Saccharomyces cerevisiae S288C: one gene and its partners. The protein of the gene in region 1 binds, or shares a complex with, the protein of each later gene. Each region holds a gene or a part of one and is shown in the gene's direction. Other genes may lie near its edges.

Region 1 (3,126 bases):
AATACCTGATCTTTTGTGACTTGGCAAGTTTATTCATTATTTCCATGGGTAATAGACCCCAGGGCGCGAAACATTTATTCATTACCTCCATGGTTATACTGTCTATATGTGCCACATATTCTCTAATTTGTGGGTTTGTTTTTGCTTTCAAGTCGTTAGCTTCTGGAACGGAATCCCACAAAATATTTGTCGACATCGTTATCTCATTGCTCTCCACCTATGGCCTATACTTTTTCTCATCACTGATGTACCTAGATCCTTGGCACATGTTTACATCATCCATACAATACTTTTTGACACTTCCCGCCTTTACGTGTACTTTACAGATTTTTGCCTTCTGTAATACACACGACGTTTCCTGGGGTACTAAAGGTTCCACACAGGAGTCCAAGCAATTGTCCAAGGCCATTGTCGTTCAAGGTCCAGATGGGAAACAGATTGTGGAAACAGATTGGCCTCAGGAAGTTGATAAGAAGTTTTTGGAAATAAAAAGTCGTTTGAAAGAACCAGAATTTGAAGAATCAAGCGGCAATGAAAAACAATCCAAGAATGATTATTATAGAGATATAAGAACCAGAATTGTGATGATTTGGATGCTATCAAATCTAATACTGATCATGTCTATAATTCAAGTCTTTACACCACAAGATACTGACAATGGTTATTTGATATTCATTTTATGGTCTGTGGCCGCTTTAGCTGCCTTTAGGGTGGTTGGTTCCATGGCCTTTTTGTTCATGAAATACTTGCGTATAATAGTGAGTTACAGAAATAAAGTTGAAGGTAGCGGCTCATGGGAAGTCTCTAAATTAGACTTACCAAATGTTTTCCACAAAAAGGGCTAATGCCAGTATTTTTCAGCTAATTTCTCGTCATTCCCTCTTTTTTCTCATTCTGTTTTAGAATGTACAGGTTATGACAACCATTACCTTCTAGGATATTTTGACATTTCTCTCTTAGACTTTTTATATATAATATACATGTTTCAATACCAAATATAATGTAGCATAACATAATCTATCTTTTTACTCATAGACCTTTACTTTCCTCTCTAAAAGCCGTGTCGCAGTAACTGGTGACGCTAAAGTTCTCCGGCGTTTTTTTATGTATGAGCTGGGCATCAAGAGCTTTTGAGATTTTCCAAGTAGTAACTCATCTTTCTGAGTGTGCTATCAAATACATACTAAGGAGAATAAACTCTTGTTATTACGTATTCTTCATCCTTATGGGTAGAGAGCGCACTGTTTTAGTACATTTTCTAGACGTCGAAACGTAGAGCAATTGTCGATAAAACAAAAAAAAAGTAAGAAGATATATGAATAGGAGCTGTCGCTAGAACTAGTAAGTATATGATGGAGATATAATAAGTGAATTATTCGATATTTAATGAACGTTCTCATTTATTTGGAAGAAATGTTTATCACGTGATGGAGAACCAATGAGCGGCGAGTAACTACGCGAGGAACCCGGACCGCAATAACGATTAAAGAAGGCCCGGAAGGGAGATGCTTAAATGATTATCACTCAGTTAAAAAAGACAAATAAGAAACTATTGAGACTGAACCGTTTTGGTTAATTTCAGGTGGAAACAATTGAAGACGAGCAGTAAACATTATTTTATTTAGTAGTCATGTTGTCAAGAATTGTATCAAACAATGCAACACGCTCCGTAATGTGCCACCAAGCGCAAGTGGGTATTCTTTATAAGACTAACCCAGTGAGAACTTATGCTACTTTGAAAGAAGTGGAAATGCGTTTGAAATCTATCAAAAATATTGAGAAGATCACAAAAACTATGAAGATTGTTGCATCTACAAGATTGAGTAAAGCTGAAAAGGCTAAAATTTCCGCAAAGAAGATGGATGAAGCAGAGCAGTTGTTTTACAAGAACGCCGAAACCAAAAATTTGGATGTTGAGGCTACTGAAACAGGTGCTCCTAAAGAGTTGATTGTTGCTATCACCTCTGATAAGGGGTTGTGTGGTTCTATCCACTCTCAATTGGCTAAAGCTGTGAGAAGACATTTGAATGATCAACCAAACGCCGATATAGTCACTATTGGTGATAAAATTAAAATGCAGCTATTGAGAACCCATCCTAACAACATTAAATTGTCTATTAATGGAATTGGTAAAGATGCCCCAACTTTCCAAGAATCTGCTTTGATTGCCGATAAGTTATTGAGTGTCATGAAGGCCGGCACTTACCCAAAGATTTCCATTTTCTACAATGACCCAGTGTCTTCCCTATCTTTTGAACCATCTGAAAAACCGATCTTTAACGCCAAGACCATTGAACAATCCCCATCATTCGGCAAATTTGAGATCGACACGGACGCAAACGTTCCAAGAGATTTGTTTGAATATACTTTGGCTAACCAAATGTTGACAGCAATGGCTCAAGGTTATGCTGCTGAAATTTCCGCCAGAAGAAACGCTATGGATAACGCTTCCAAGAATGCCGGTGATATGATCAATCGTTACTCTATCTTGTACAACAGAACAAGACAAGCTGTCATTACTAATGAACTGGTTGATATTATTACTGGTGCTTCCTCTTTGGGATGATAAAAAAATCACCCTGCATTGCCTCTTTATTTGACGTTGTTTTTGTAGAACATGAAACGAATTTTGACTTGATGAGACGAAGTATATATCCAAAGAATACCTTAAATAGAAAAGGAAAGATAATAAATACTAAACACTACTATATATTCAGGTAAAATACAAAAATTATAACATTTTTAAAACTTTTTTTTTTTGAAAGTCCTTCTCGCTTTAGGATTTTTTCCCATTAAGATTATGATGGTTTCATGTATGTGTCAGTTAAAAAAAATATGGCTAAGTAGCAATGAAACGAACCAAGAAAATGAAAACAATATATAGTGCTGTTGAAATAACAAAGACATTGGTATATATTTGTAAAATGTCTGTTAAATGTTTTTTATCTCAGGTTCTTGCTTGTCTTTGGTAGAAGAAATTATAGTAAACAAACAAACAAACAAACAAAAAAAAAAAAAAAAAAATGGTCGCAATCTCAATGATTTGGTTTTTTACCAAGCGTATGCCCAGAATATTTGCATTAGCTTTTAATTTAATTTCAATATTTCTTTTGATTTTTCTTCTCA
Region 2 (2,599 bases), on another chromosome or scaffold:
CATAACAAACAAAGGAAGGACCCTGTATTGTTTTCCTAAAGATGACTGCTGCTAAACCAAATCCATATGCTGCCAAACCGGGCGACTATCTTTCTAATGTAAATAATTTCCAGTTAATCGATTCGACGCTGAGAGAAGGTGAACAATTTGCCAACGCATTCTTCGATACTGAAAAAAAGATCGAAATTGCTAGAGCCTTGGACGATTTCGGTGTGGACTACATCGAGTTAACCTCACCAGTAGCATCTGAACAATCAAGAAAGGACTGTGAAGCTATATGTAAACTAGGTTTAAAGGCCAAGATCCTTACACACATTCGTTGTCATATGGATGACGCCAAAGTCGCCGTAGAGACTGGTGTCGACGGTGTCGATGTCGTTATCGGCACCTCCAAATTTTTAAGACAATATTCCCACGGTAAGGATATGAACTACATCGCCAAGAGTGCTGTTGAAGTCATTGAATTTGTCAAATCCAAAGGTATTGAAATCAGATTTTCCTCTGAAGATTCCTTCAGAAGTGATCTCGTTGATCTTTTGAACATTTATAAAACCGTTGACAAGATCGGTGTAAATAGAGTCGGTATTGCCGACACAGTTGGATGTGCCAACCCAAGACAAGTATATGAACTGATCAGAACTTTGAAGAGTGTTGTTTCATGTGACATCGAATGCCATTTCCACAACGATACTGGTTGTGCCATTGCAAACGCCTACACTGCTTTGGAAGGTGGTGCCAGATTGATTGACGTCAGTGTACTGGGTATTGGTGAAAGAAACGGTATCACTCCTCTAGGTGGGCTCATGGCAAGAATGATTGTTGCCGCACCAGACTATGTCAAGTCCAAATACAAGTTGCACAAGATCAGAGACATTGAAAACCTGGTCGCTGATGCTGTGGAAGTTAACATTCCATTCAACAACCCTATCACCGGGTTCTGTGCATTCACACATAAAGCAGGTATCCATGCCAAGGCCATTTTGGCTAACCCATCTACCTACGAAATCTTGGACCCTCACGATTTCGGTATGAAGAGGTATATCCACTTCGCCAACAGACTAACTGGCTGGAACGCCATCAAAGCCAGAGTCGACCAGTTGAACTTGAACTTGACGGATGACCAAATCAAGGAAGTTACTGCTAAGATTAAGAAGCTGGGTGATGTCAGATCGCTGAATATCGATGATGTTGACTCTATCATCAAGAACTTCCACGCAGAGGTCAGCACTCCTCAAGTACTATCTGCAAAAAAGAACAAGAAGAATGACAGCGATGTACCGGAACTGGCCACCATCCCCGCCGCCAAGCGGACTAAGCCATCCGCCTAACGTTCCCAAACCATTACATTATGTTCTTTCACTTATTACATACGATATATAGCATCTACATCTACATATCTAAATGATGTTTTTTCCCATCTACTTTGTCCGATACGCATTAAAAGAAGAAGATTTACTCTCCCGTGATGCCGGGCCAATCAGACGCGCGCATTCGCGGCAGAATAAGGGGAGGCTGCTGCGGGTACCAAATATCCAGATATTCACAATTATGCCAATCAACTGTCTAGTTGCTGACACCCATCGTTTTCCACTGCAACGAGGTTTTGGGGCTAGAAAAGGCGTTAACAATCGTTAGAGAAGGAGGGGTTCATAACTTGACTTGTTGTATCTTGTTTAAAACTTTCTTTGAATTTGTTCGTGGTTGAATTTGTTTTTGCTATCCCAAAGGAGTGCATTTTACACGCATTACTACAGCACACTTTTATACAGTTCCACAATAGAATATGTTACCACGTTCAGCATTAGCACGCTCATTGCAATTACAGCGCGGTGTGGCCGCAAGGTTCTACTCTGAAGGTTCTACCGGCACCCCAAGAGGGTCAGGCTCAGAGGATTCGTTTGTTAAAAGGGAAAGGGCCACGGAAGACTTCTTCGTTAGGCAGCGTGAGAAGGAGCAACTACGCCATTTGAAAGAACAACTGGAAAAACAACGAAAGAAGATTGATTCTTTGGAAAATAAAATTGACTCGATGACCAAATAATCATGCGTTTCCGCAGAAGCTTTTTTTTTTTTTTTTTTAGAATATTCTTACTCTTTTATAGTCAAACAGCAGAAAAACTATATAATAATACATCACACTGAGCTTTTGCATTTTCGATAACTATCATTCTAGTTTTCCTCTGGTTTGAATTTTCCTCTTGTCTGTCTGACTAATGTCACTCATTATTTCCACTTCGCGCAAAGTTCGTCCCAATGCGGAAAGGCATAGAAAGATAGGAACAGTGTGGAACATGGAAAAGTTCCAAATAACGTCAATAGTCCATACTTAAGATACGAAATTTCAAAATTCCTTCTTTTTTGTTTCAACAAGCTTAGCCTAACACCAAGAATATACTTAGCATCTCTTCGCATTCAAAATTTCTCTTCCATTCTTTGACGTTTTAAATCATACCTCGTATTCTTTACACAAAAGAAAGATACCTGTGAAATATATCTGAATATGGTCCGATTAAATCATGCAGCATCATATTTTATGCCTATTTTCTGCTCCACAAGGCCTCACATAGTGATACTTTCTGCGCTGTTTAGTATTTCACTG
Region 3 (2,626 bases), on another chromosome or scaffold:
CCTAAACGTAGTCATTATGATAAAGTGAGGATGTGTCTGTGTTGTGAGTTACAAATGCACTTCTTTGGACAGGTATAACAAGGATAACGTATACACCCTTTTATATATGACCGTCCCCCCATACAAATTTGTGCTCGTATGCCGAGTGTGATCTACTCATCGCTTCGTTAATGAATCGTTTAGCCAAGAATATAGTAAACGTGTAGCAGAGTCATACCCCTGATGGCTGCAGACGCAGGGAATACTCAGCCTCGAAACAGTTTTCAATTTATGTGCGTATGCATGGCTATAATCTTCTATTTCTGTCACCTTTCGTTTATTCTAAACGAATTTGCGACGTTCAACGAAAGCGCGTTGAAAAAATTAATCTCTGAAGTTAAACGGTCGGAAAACAGACAAAAAAGTTGTTGTTATTACTTGTAGAGGAAAGAGCTATTTCATAGCTCGTTTGGGAATGCAGGGGTGACGTCCTTCTTCGGGTGTGTTGTCCTAACTTTCCTTAAACACATTGGGCTATCATACCAGTGAAAAAGAAACATACAATGGTCAGATTCGCTTTATTTGGCTACGAGAATGTGGCGGCTAAGTTCCCTCAACAACTATTCCACCAATCTTGATGGCTTTTCTAAGGCTCTAAGTAGACGTTAAGGTGGCTAAGATTCTAAAATTTTGCCATTTTTCGAGGTTGTGCTTCGCCCTATCCCTTGGAAAACATTTCTAATCATCTTAAATTCTGTGATTGAGAACGTTTTAACGTTATCTTAAACGTTTCCATAGAAGAACGAACGTGAAGGTTTGTAGCTCGTTAAAAGGCGATCTTGAATGATGTGAAGAAGTGTAAAAGGCTTAGGAAAGTTGCTTGTTGACCCGGTGTCGTTCAATATACTCCTATTACCCAAATGGCAGTTTCATAGAGTGATATTATTTCGTTGCCTTGTGTAAGTTAGAAGTACTTCTTGTCGATTGTGAATTCGGATAGCCGCTAGAACGCCAATCATTGCGGAGGTTTGCCATCGCATGGATACCATAGCCATCTGCACATTCTAATATAGATTATATTACTTTAGACCATGTCATTTCATAATCGTTGGTTTAAGCGGTGTTGTTTCCACAGTTTGTATGAGAACTTTTGTCCAAAGTAAAGTATCAGTAACGTAATCTGAGCAAACCTACATTAAATCGTAACTCCGCGAGATTCTTTTGTTCAGGTGGATCAGCGGCGTGGTTTACTTCCGATTTGCTCATCGTGCGCATAGCAGCATTTATTCCTCTAATTCGCTCGATAATCAACCTTTCCGCACTACGACGGTGGCAATAGTTGGACCTTAAGATATGCCTATCTGAATACAATTCTTCAACTCACATCAGTGGGACACTAAATAAAGCATATGGTATGAAATACTATGAATTATTGAATTATTGGCAGACACAGCAGCGACAAGTCAGAGTGCTTACAAAAAAAAAAGAGTTGATCCGGCTAAAGAAAGTCTGATTTACGTATTTATCCAGGTTCAAACGGATTGCCAAAAATAGTCGATAACCTCGGAGTAAGCAAAGCAACAATATATTTGTTCTTCGAAAAGGTAAACTTCTTAACTTCTATAGAAGCATTGTACTAGTTCTCTCGAAGAAAAAAACTAAGAAAGCTATAGCTGTATCTTACCAAGCCATGAACTTGAGGAATTGGTAATCCTTATTAGGAAATACGCTAAACTAGGTAATAGCAGATGATTTACTAGCTTACTATCTCACACTAAGTCTGGCAACGCGCTTATTTTTTAATACTTTTATACGAACCAATGAAATTTGATCCTCCCCTTTTTCGTCTAGTTAAATGAAGAGATACAAGTAGGCCTTTCTATTGAGTACTTAGCAAGATATGTATTTCTAAGAAACATCAACAGTTTCAGCCCACAACCGATTCATAAAATGTCTGCCTGGAGGAAAGCTGGTATATCATATGCTGCATATTTGAATGTGGCCGCTCAGGCTATCCGTTCTTCATTGAAAACTGAATTACAAACCGCTAGTGTTCTTAACAGATCGCAAACAGATGCTTTTTATACCCAATATAAAAATGGCACTGCAGCTTCTGAACCCACTCCAATAACAAAATAGTTTAACGCTTCCTGGGAACTGCAGCTCTTTTTTTACTCGCTGATATACATTTTAAATATTCTAGCAACTGTGTATGAAAACTTACGTACTTTTATACGGGAAACTAATAATGACTACAATGATATTGAATACTGGCCGCTTCGAAGAGTGGTATAAAGTTTGTATCATTGCATTAAAAGAAAAAGAAATATATGTCCCATCATCGCCAATCGCAATGTTGAATGGTCGTTTACCACTTTTGCGGCTGGGCATATGCAGAAACATGCTGTCCCGTCCCCGACTGGCTAAACTGCCATCTATAAGGTTTCGGTCTTTGGTCACCCCTTCTTCATCGCAGCTCATTCCTCTCAGTCGGTTGTGTTTAAGGTCACCTGCAGTTGGAAAATCACTAATTTTACAAAGTTTTAGATGTAATTCATCCAAAACAGTTCCAGAAACTTCTCTGCCTTCAGCCTCTCCCATATCTAAAGGATCAGCAAGGTCGGCACATGCAAAGGAGCAATCTAAA
Region 4 (2,661 bases), on another chromosome or scaffold:
TTATCCTTGCCGTTCTTGGTGCTATTGATATTATTATTTATGTTGTTTTCAATAGAAGAAATATTTATGTCATTGTAGTTGTTACCTGAGTCATTATCGTCAAAGCCTTTGGTTTCGTCCACCGTGGCATTGAAGGCTGTGGAGTCAAAACCAGTACTGTCAAGGCCTGAAAACATCGAAATATCCATAGAGTTTAAATCGTTGAACATTACATCCGAGGGTTGGGCCTGCTGGCTTTGGATTCGAGTAGTGGTTAAGGGAGAAAATGCGGCACCGTTATTAGCAGCATTTGCGTTCTCAAGTTGTGTTTGACTGGATGATTGAAGAGATCCAAGTTCTTGATAATTCTCTTTGGAACCGTTGGCATCCGTTGTGTTCGCAGGTGCTGTTGTGGAGAAGTTCAAACCAAGGCCATTTTTTTCCTTTGAATTTTGCTGGAGTTGCTGCTGTTGGGAGGCTTCTTCGAGTTCTTGTCGCTTTTTTAATTCTTCTTGTTCTCTAACCTTCCTCATATTTTCTTGTTCAGCCCTCTTTTTTTCAGCTTCCTCTCTTTCTTTCTCCTTTTCTTTTCCGAGTGCAGTAAGAGTTTCTAAATATGAAGAACTCTGGCTTAGAGAAGTCTCTAAATCATCTAAAATTCCATGAAATAATTTAACCTTCTCTTTCAATAATTTTTGCTGAGATTGACTGAAACCATTGACGAGATAAGAATCTAGTTGTACATTTTTTAACTGTTGTTGCATCATCATTTCTGCTCCAACTTTTAGGATGTCATCGAAGCAAACAGTAAGCTTATTTTTATACGTCATTGTTCTGGTATTGCTCCCCCGTTCAGAGAAATTGGCTGTGTGAACAGACGAAACTGGGCTATTTTGTACTACCATTACTTTCAGACGGGCAGTTTATTTGGGAGGATCCGCCTTCAAATTTAAACTATCTTGAGACCAGAACATCTATTGAAATTTTGGTGAATATTCCAGCAACCCTCTCTATCCCGCTTTGAATTTCTTGATGTCATTGGAAACATTTAACTTTTCTCGTTACAAGCGGGTAATATCCTAATCATTGTAATTAAGACGTTGCTTCCCTGGGAAGAAAATAGTATAAACATAAGATATAATAGTTTTTAAAATGGTCAACGTATGCGATGCACAACTAAAAGGTACCAATTCATTAAATATTATAATATTTACTTCTTACTATTACACGAAAGACAAGTGTGAAATGCCTAGGAGATTGATGATTGACAAGCTCTGGCCTTGCAATAAAAATACTTATACACAACTTCAAATAATATAGAAAAGAAAGAAGACTATAAGCTAAAAATGTAGACAACCTCATTTAAATATTATTCTTAGGACTTGGTAATAATAGCTAATTTGTATATTATTCACCTCGGTCACCGCCTGTAATCACCTTTAACGAAAATAGATGCCCAGCCAATCAAAGCGCATTATGGAGTCGTCTAGGAAGGGGCCGTCCCATCATTGTAAAAGTTCATGTTAAATTAGATGGAGGATAACAATAAAGGTATCGTACACACACTGCTAAAAGAGCCTCAATCAATTTGTGAAGGTATAACTGTAGCCGTGAGGATAGGAAAATGTTACGTTCAATTATTGGAAAGAGTGCATCAAGATCATTGAATTTCGTCGCTAAGCGTTCATATGCAGAAGCTGCTGCCGCATCATCAGGTTTGAAGTTACAATTTGCTCTACCACACGAAACTTTATATAGTGGCTCCGAAGTTACTCAAGTGAACCTGCCTGCTAAGTCAGGACGTATTGGTGTATTGGCCAACCATGTTCCCACCGTTGAACAATTACTACCAGGTGTCGTTGAAGTTATGGAAGGCTCTAACTCTAAAAAATTCTTTATATCAGGTGGATTTGCAACAGTTCAACCAGACTCGCAGTTATGTGTAACTGCAATTGAAGCTTTTCCATTGGAATCCTTTTCACAAGAAAATATAAAAAATTTGTTGGCAGAAGCTAAGAAGAACGTTAGTTCATCTGATGCCAGGGAAGCCGCAGAAGCTGCAATTCAAGTAGAAGTTTTAGAAAACCTACAATCCGTATTGAAATAGCGTTTTTATGGTACGCATTCTAGAACTTGAGGGGAAGAAGTCTACGTTTTTAAGTGTTGACAAGCAATTCGCTTGAAAGCGCCAAAATTCATTGTTTGTTCTACTCGAATTTAAGTTTCCATTTTGGTTGATGTCTTAAGTATACAGAGAAACCGTTTATTAGCGTATATATACAGAAAATTTTATTATTTTATATTCAAAAACAAGAAAACAAAAGAGAAAACATTAACATGTAATTTTCATAACTAATAGTCCTAGAAAGTAATACTTTTTACAACTGTTTCTTTAAATCCTGTATGAAAGCCCTAGTTGCAGATCATCGTGTTATTCCAGTGAGTTTTCACTTCCCTAAGTCCTTCCTATTTATGTTTTAGTCCTTCTTGCACAGCAATTTTACTTCGGGCACTGTTGCCGTATATTCTAAAAAAATGAAAAAAACGTTCATGCCCCAGCGAAAACCAGTGTTTCCTCGTATTCGTGTCAGTAATTACACCAAAGTTTGTTCTACACTAAATCACGAATAAAGTGGGAGATTGAGTTCAACAAAATATCTGATTATAAAAGTATGAGAACAA

The links.
Region 2: the proteins of ATP3 (region 1) and INH1 are in contact, whole or in part, in a crystal structure (PDB 3ZIA), measured with the Saccharomyces cerevisiae proteins. Residues at the interface, in NP_009595.1 of Saccharomyces cerevisiae: Met41 (codon at 1,751), Arg42 (codon at 1,754), Lys44 (codon at 1,760), Ser45 (codon at 1,763), Asn48 (codon at 1,772), Ile49 (codon at 1,775); in NP_010100.1 of Saccharomyces cerevisiae: Ser23 (codon at 1,850), Ser26 (codon at 1,859), Thr27 (codon at 1,862), Arg31 (codon at 1,874), Asp37 (codon at 1,892), Phe39 (codon at 1,898).
Region 3: the proteins of ATP3 (region 1) and ATP15 are in contact, whole or in part, in a cryo-EM structure (PDB 8F29), measured with the Saccharomyces cerevisiae proteins. Residues at the interface, in NP_009595.1 of Saccharomyces cerevisiae: Lys148 (codon at 2,072), Leu152 (codon at 2,084), Pro156 (codon at 2,096), Asn157 (codon at 2,099), Ile159 (codon at 2,105), Lys160 (codon at 2,108), Leu161 (codon at 2,111), Ser162 (codon at 2,114), Ile163 (codon at 2,117), Asn164 (codon at 2,120), Gly165 (codon at 2,123), Ile166 (codon at 2,126), Lys168 (codon at 2,132), Thr172 (codon at 2,144), Phe173 (codon at 2,147), Gln174 (codon at 2,150), Glu175 (codon at 2,153), Ala177 (codon at 2,159), Leu178 (codon at 2,162), Ile179 (codon at 2,165), Asp181 (codon at 2,171), Lys182 (codon at 2,174), Leu184 (codon at 2,180), Ser185 (codon at 2,183), Val186 (codon at 2,186), Met187 (codon at 2,189), Asn237 (codon at 2,339), Arg240 (codon at 2,348), Asp241 (codon at 2,351), Glu244 (codon at 2,360); in NP_015052.1 of Saccharomyces cerevisiae: Trp4 (codon at 1,939), Arg5 (codon at 1,942), Ile9 (codon at 1,954), Ser10 (codon at 1,957), Tyr11 (codon at 1,960), Ala12 (codon at 1,963), Ala13 (codon at 1,966), Leu15 (codon at 1,972), Asn16 (codon at 1,975), Ala19 (codon at 1,984), Gln20 (codon at 1,987), Asn37 (codon at 2,038), Arg38 (codon at 2,041), Gln40 (codon at 2,047), Thr41 (codon at 2,050), Asp42 (codon at 2,053), Ala43 (codon at 2,056), Phe44 (codon at 2,059), Tyr45 (codon at 2,062), Thr46 (codon at 2,065), Gln47 (codon at 2,068), Tyr48 (codon at 2,071), Lys49 (codon at 2,074), Asn50 (codon at 2,077), Thr52 (codon at 2,083), Pro57 (codon at 2,098), Ile60 (codon at 2,107).
Region 4: the proteins of ATP3 (region 1) and ATP16 are in contact, whole or in part, in a crystal structure (PDB 3FKS), measured with the Saccharomyces cerevisiae proteins. Residues at the interface, in NP_009595.1 of Saccharomyces cerevisiae: Ala70 (codon at 1,838), Ser73 (codon at 1,847), Ala74 (codon at 1,850), Lys76 (codon at 1,856), Met77 (codon at 1,859), Glu79 (codon at 1,865), Ala80 (codon at 1,868), Glu81 (codon at 1,871), Leu83 (codon at 1,877), Phe84 (codon at 1,880), Asn87 (codon at 1,889), Phe173 (codon at 2,147), Lys229 (codon at 2,315), Phe230 (codon at 2,318), Glu231 (codon at 2,321), Ile232 (codon at 2,324), Ala236 (codon at 2,336), Asn237 (codon at 2,339), Val238 (codon at 2,342), Asp241 (codon at 2,351), Leu242 (codon at 2,354), Tyr245 (codon at 2,363), Leu252 (codon at 2,384); in NP_010280.1 of Saccharomyces cerevisiae: Gln35 (codon at 1,706), Ala37 (codon at 1,712), Leu38 (codon at 1,715), Pro39 (codon at 1,718), His40 (codon at 1,721), Glu41 (codon at 1,724), Thr42 (codon at 1,727), Ser45 (codon at 1,736), Lys57 (codon at 1,772), Val68 (codon at 1,805), Pro69 (codon at 1,808), Thr70 (codon at 1,811), Val71 (codon at 1,814), Gln73 (codon at 1,820), Gly94 (codon at 1,883), Gly95 (codon at 1,886), Phe96 (codon at 1,889), Thr98 (codon at 1,895), Val99 (codon at 1,898), Gln100 (codon at 1,901), Pro101 (codon at 1,904), Asp102 (codon at 1,907), Gln104 (codon at 1,913), Cys106 (codon at 1,919), Thr108 (codon at 1,925), Ala109 (codon at 1,928), Ile110 (codon at 1,931).

What each region holds. Positions count from the first base shown.
Region 1 is NC_001134.8:313,945-317,070, forward strand, and holds ATP3 (F1F0 ATP synthase subunit gamma), read left to right. Parts: upstream 1-1,630; coding exon 1,631-2,566; downstream 2,567-3,126. Other genes in the region: chitin synthase CHS2, read left to right, coding at 1-845; FIG1 (Fig1p), read left to right, coding at 3,024-3,126. UniProt on the Saccharomyces cerevisiae protein: Mitochondrial membrane ATP synthase (F(1)F(0) ATP synthase or Complex V) produces ATP from ADP in the presence of a proton gradient across the membrane which is generated by electron transport complexes of the respiratory chain.
Region 2 is NC_001136.10:133,396-135,994, forward strand, and holds INH1 (ATPase inhibitor), read left to right. Parts: upstream 1-1,783; coding exon 1,784-2,041; downstream 2,042-2,599. Other genes in the region: homocitrate synthase LYS20, read left to right, coding at 42-1,328; AIT1 (Ait1p), read left to right, coding at 2,501-2,599. UniProt on the Saccharomyces cerevisiae protein: Endogenous ATPase inhibitor, which inhibits specifically the reverse ATPase reaction of mitochondrial F(1)F(0)-type ATP synthase.
Region 3 is NC_001148.4:28,150-30,775, forward strand, and holds ATP15 (F1F0 ATP synthase subunit epsilon), read left to right. Parts: upstream 1-1,929; coding exon 1,930-2,118; downstream 2,119-2,626. Other genes in the region: PBI1 (Pbi1p), read right to left, coding at 1-15; ATP-binding cassette permease MDL2, read left to right, coding at 2,333-2,626. UniProt on the Saccharomyces cerevisiae protein: Mitochondrial membrane ATP synthase (F(1)F(0) ATP synthase or Complex V) produces ATP from ADP in the presence of a proton gradient across the membrane which is generated by electron transport complexes of the respiratory chain.
Region 4 is NC_001136.10:441,426-444,086, forward strand, and holds ATP16 (F1F0 ATP synthase subunit delta), read left to right. Parts: upstream 1-1,603; coding exon 1,604-2,086; downstream 2,087-2,661. Other genes in the region: MED2 (Med2p), read right to left, coding at 1-884. UniProt on the Saccharomyces cerevisiae protein: Mitochondrial membrane ATP synthase (F(1)F(0) ATP synthase or Complex V) produces ATP from ADP in the presence of a proton gradient across the membrane which is generated by electron transport complexes of the respiratory chain.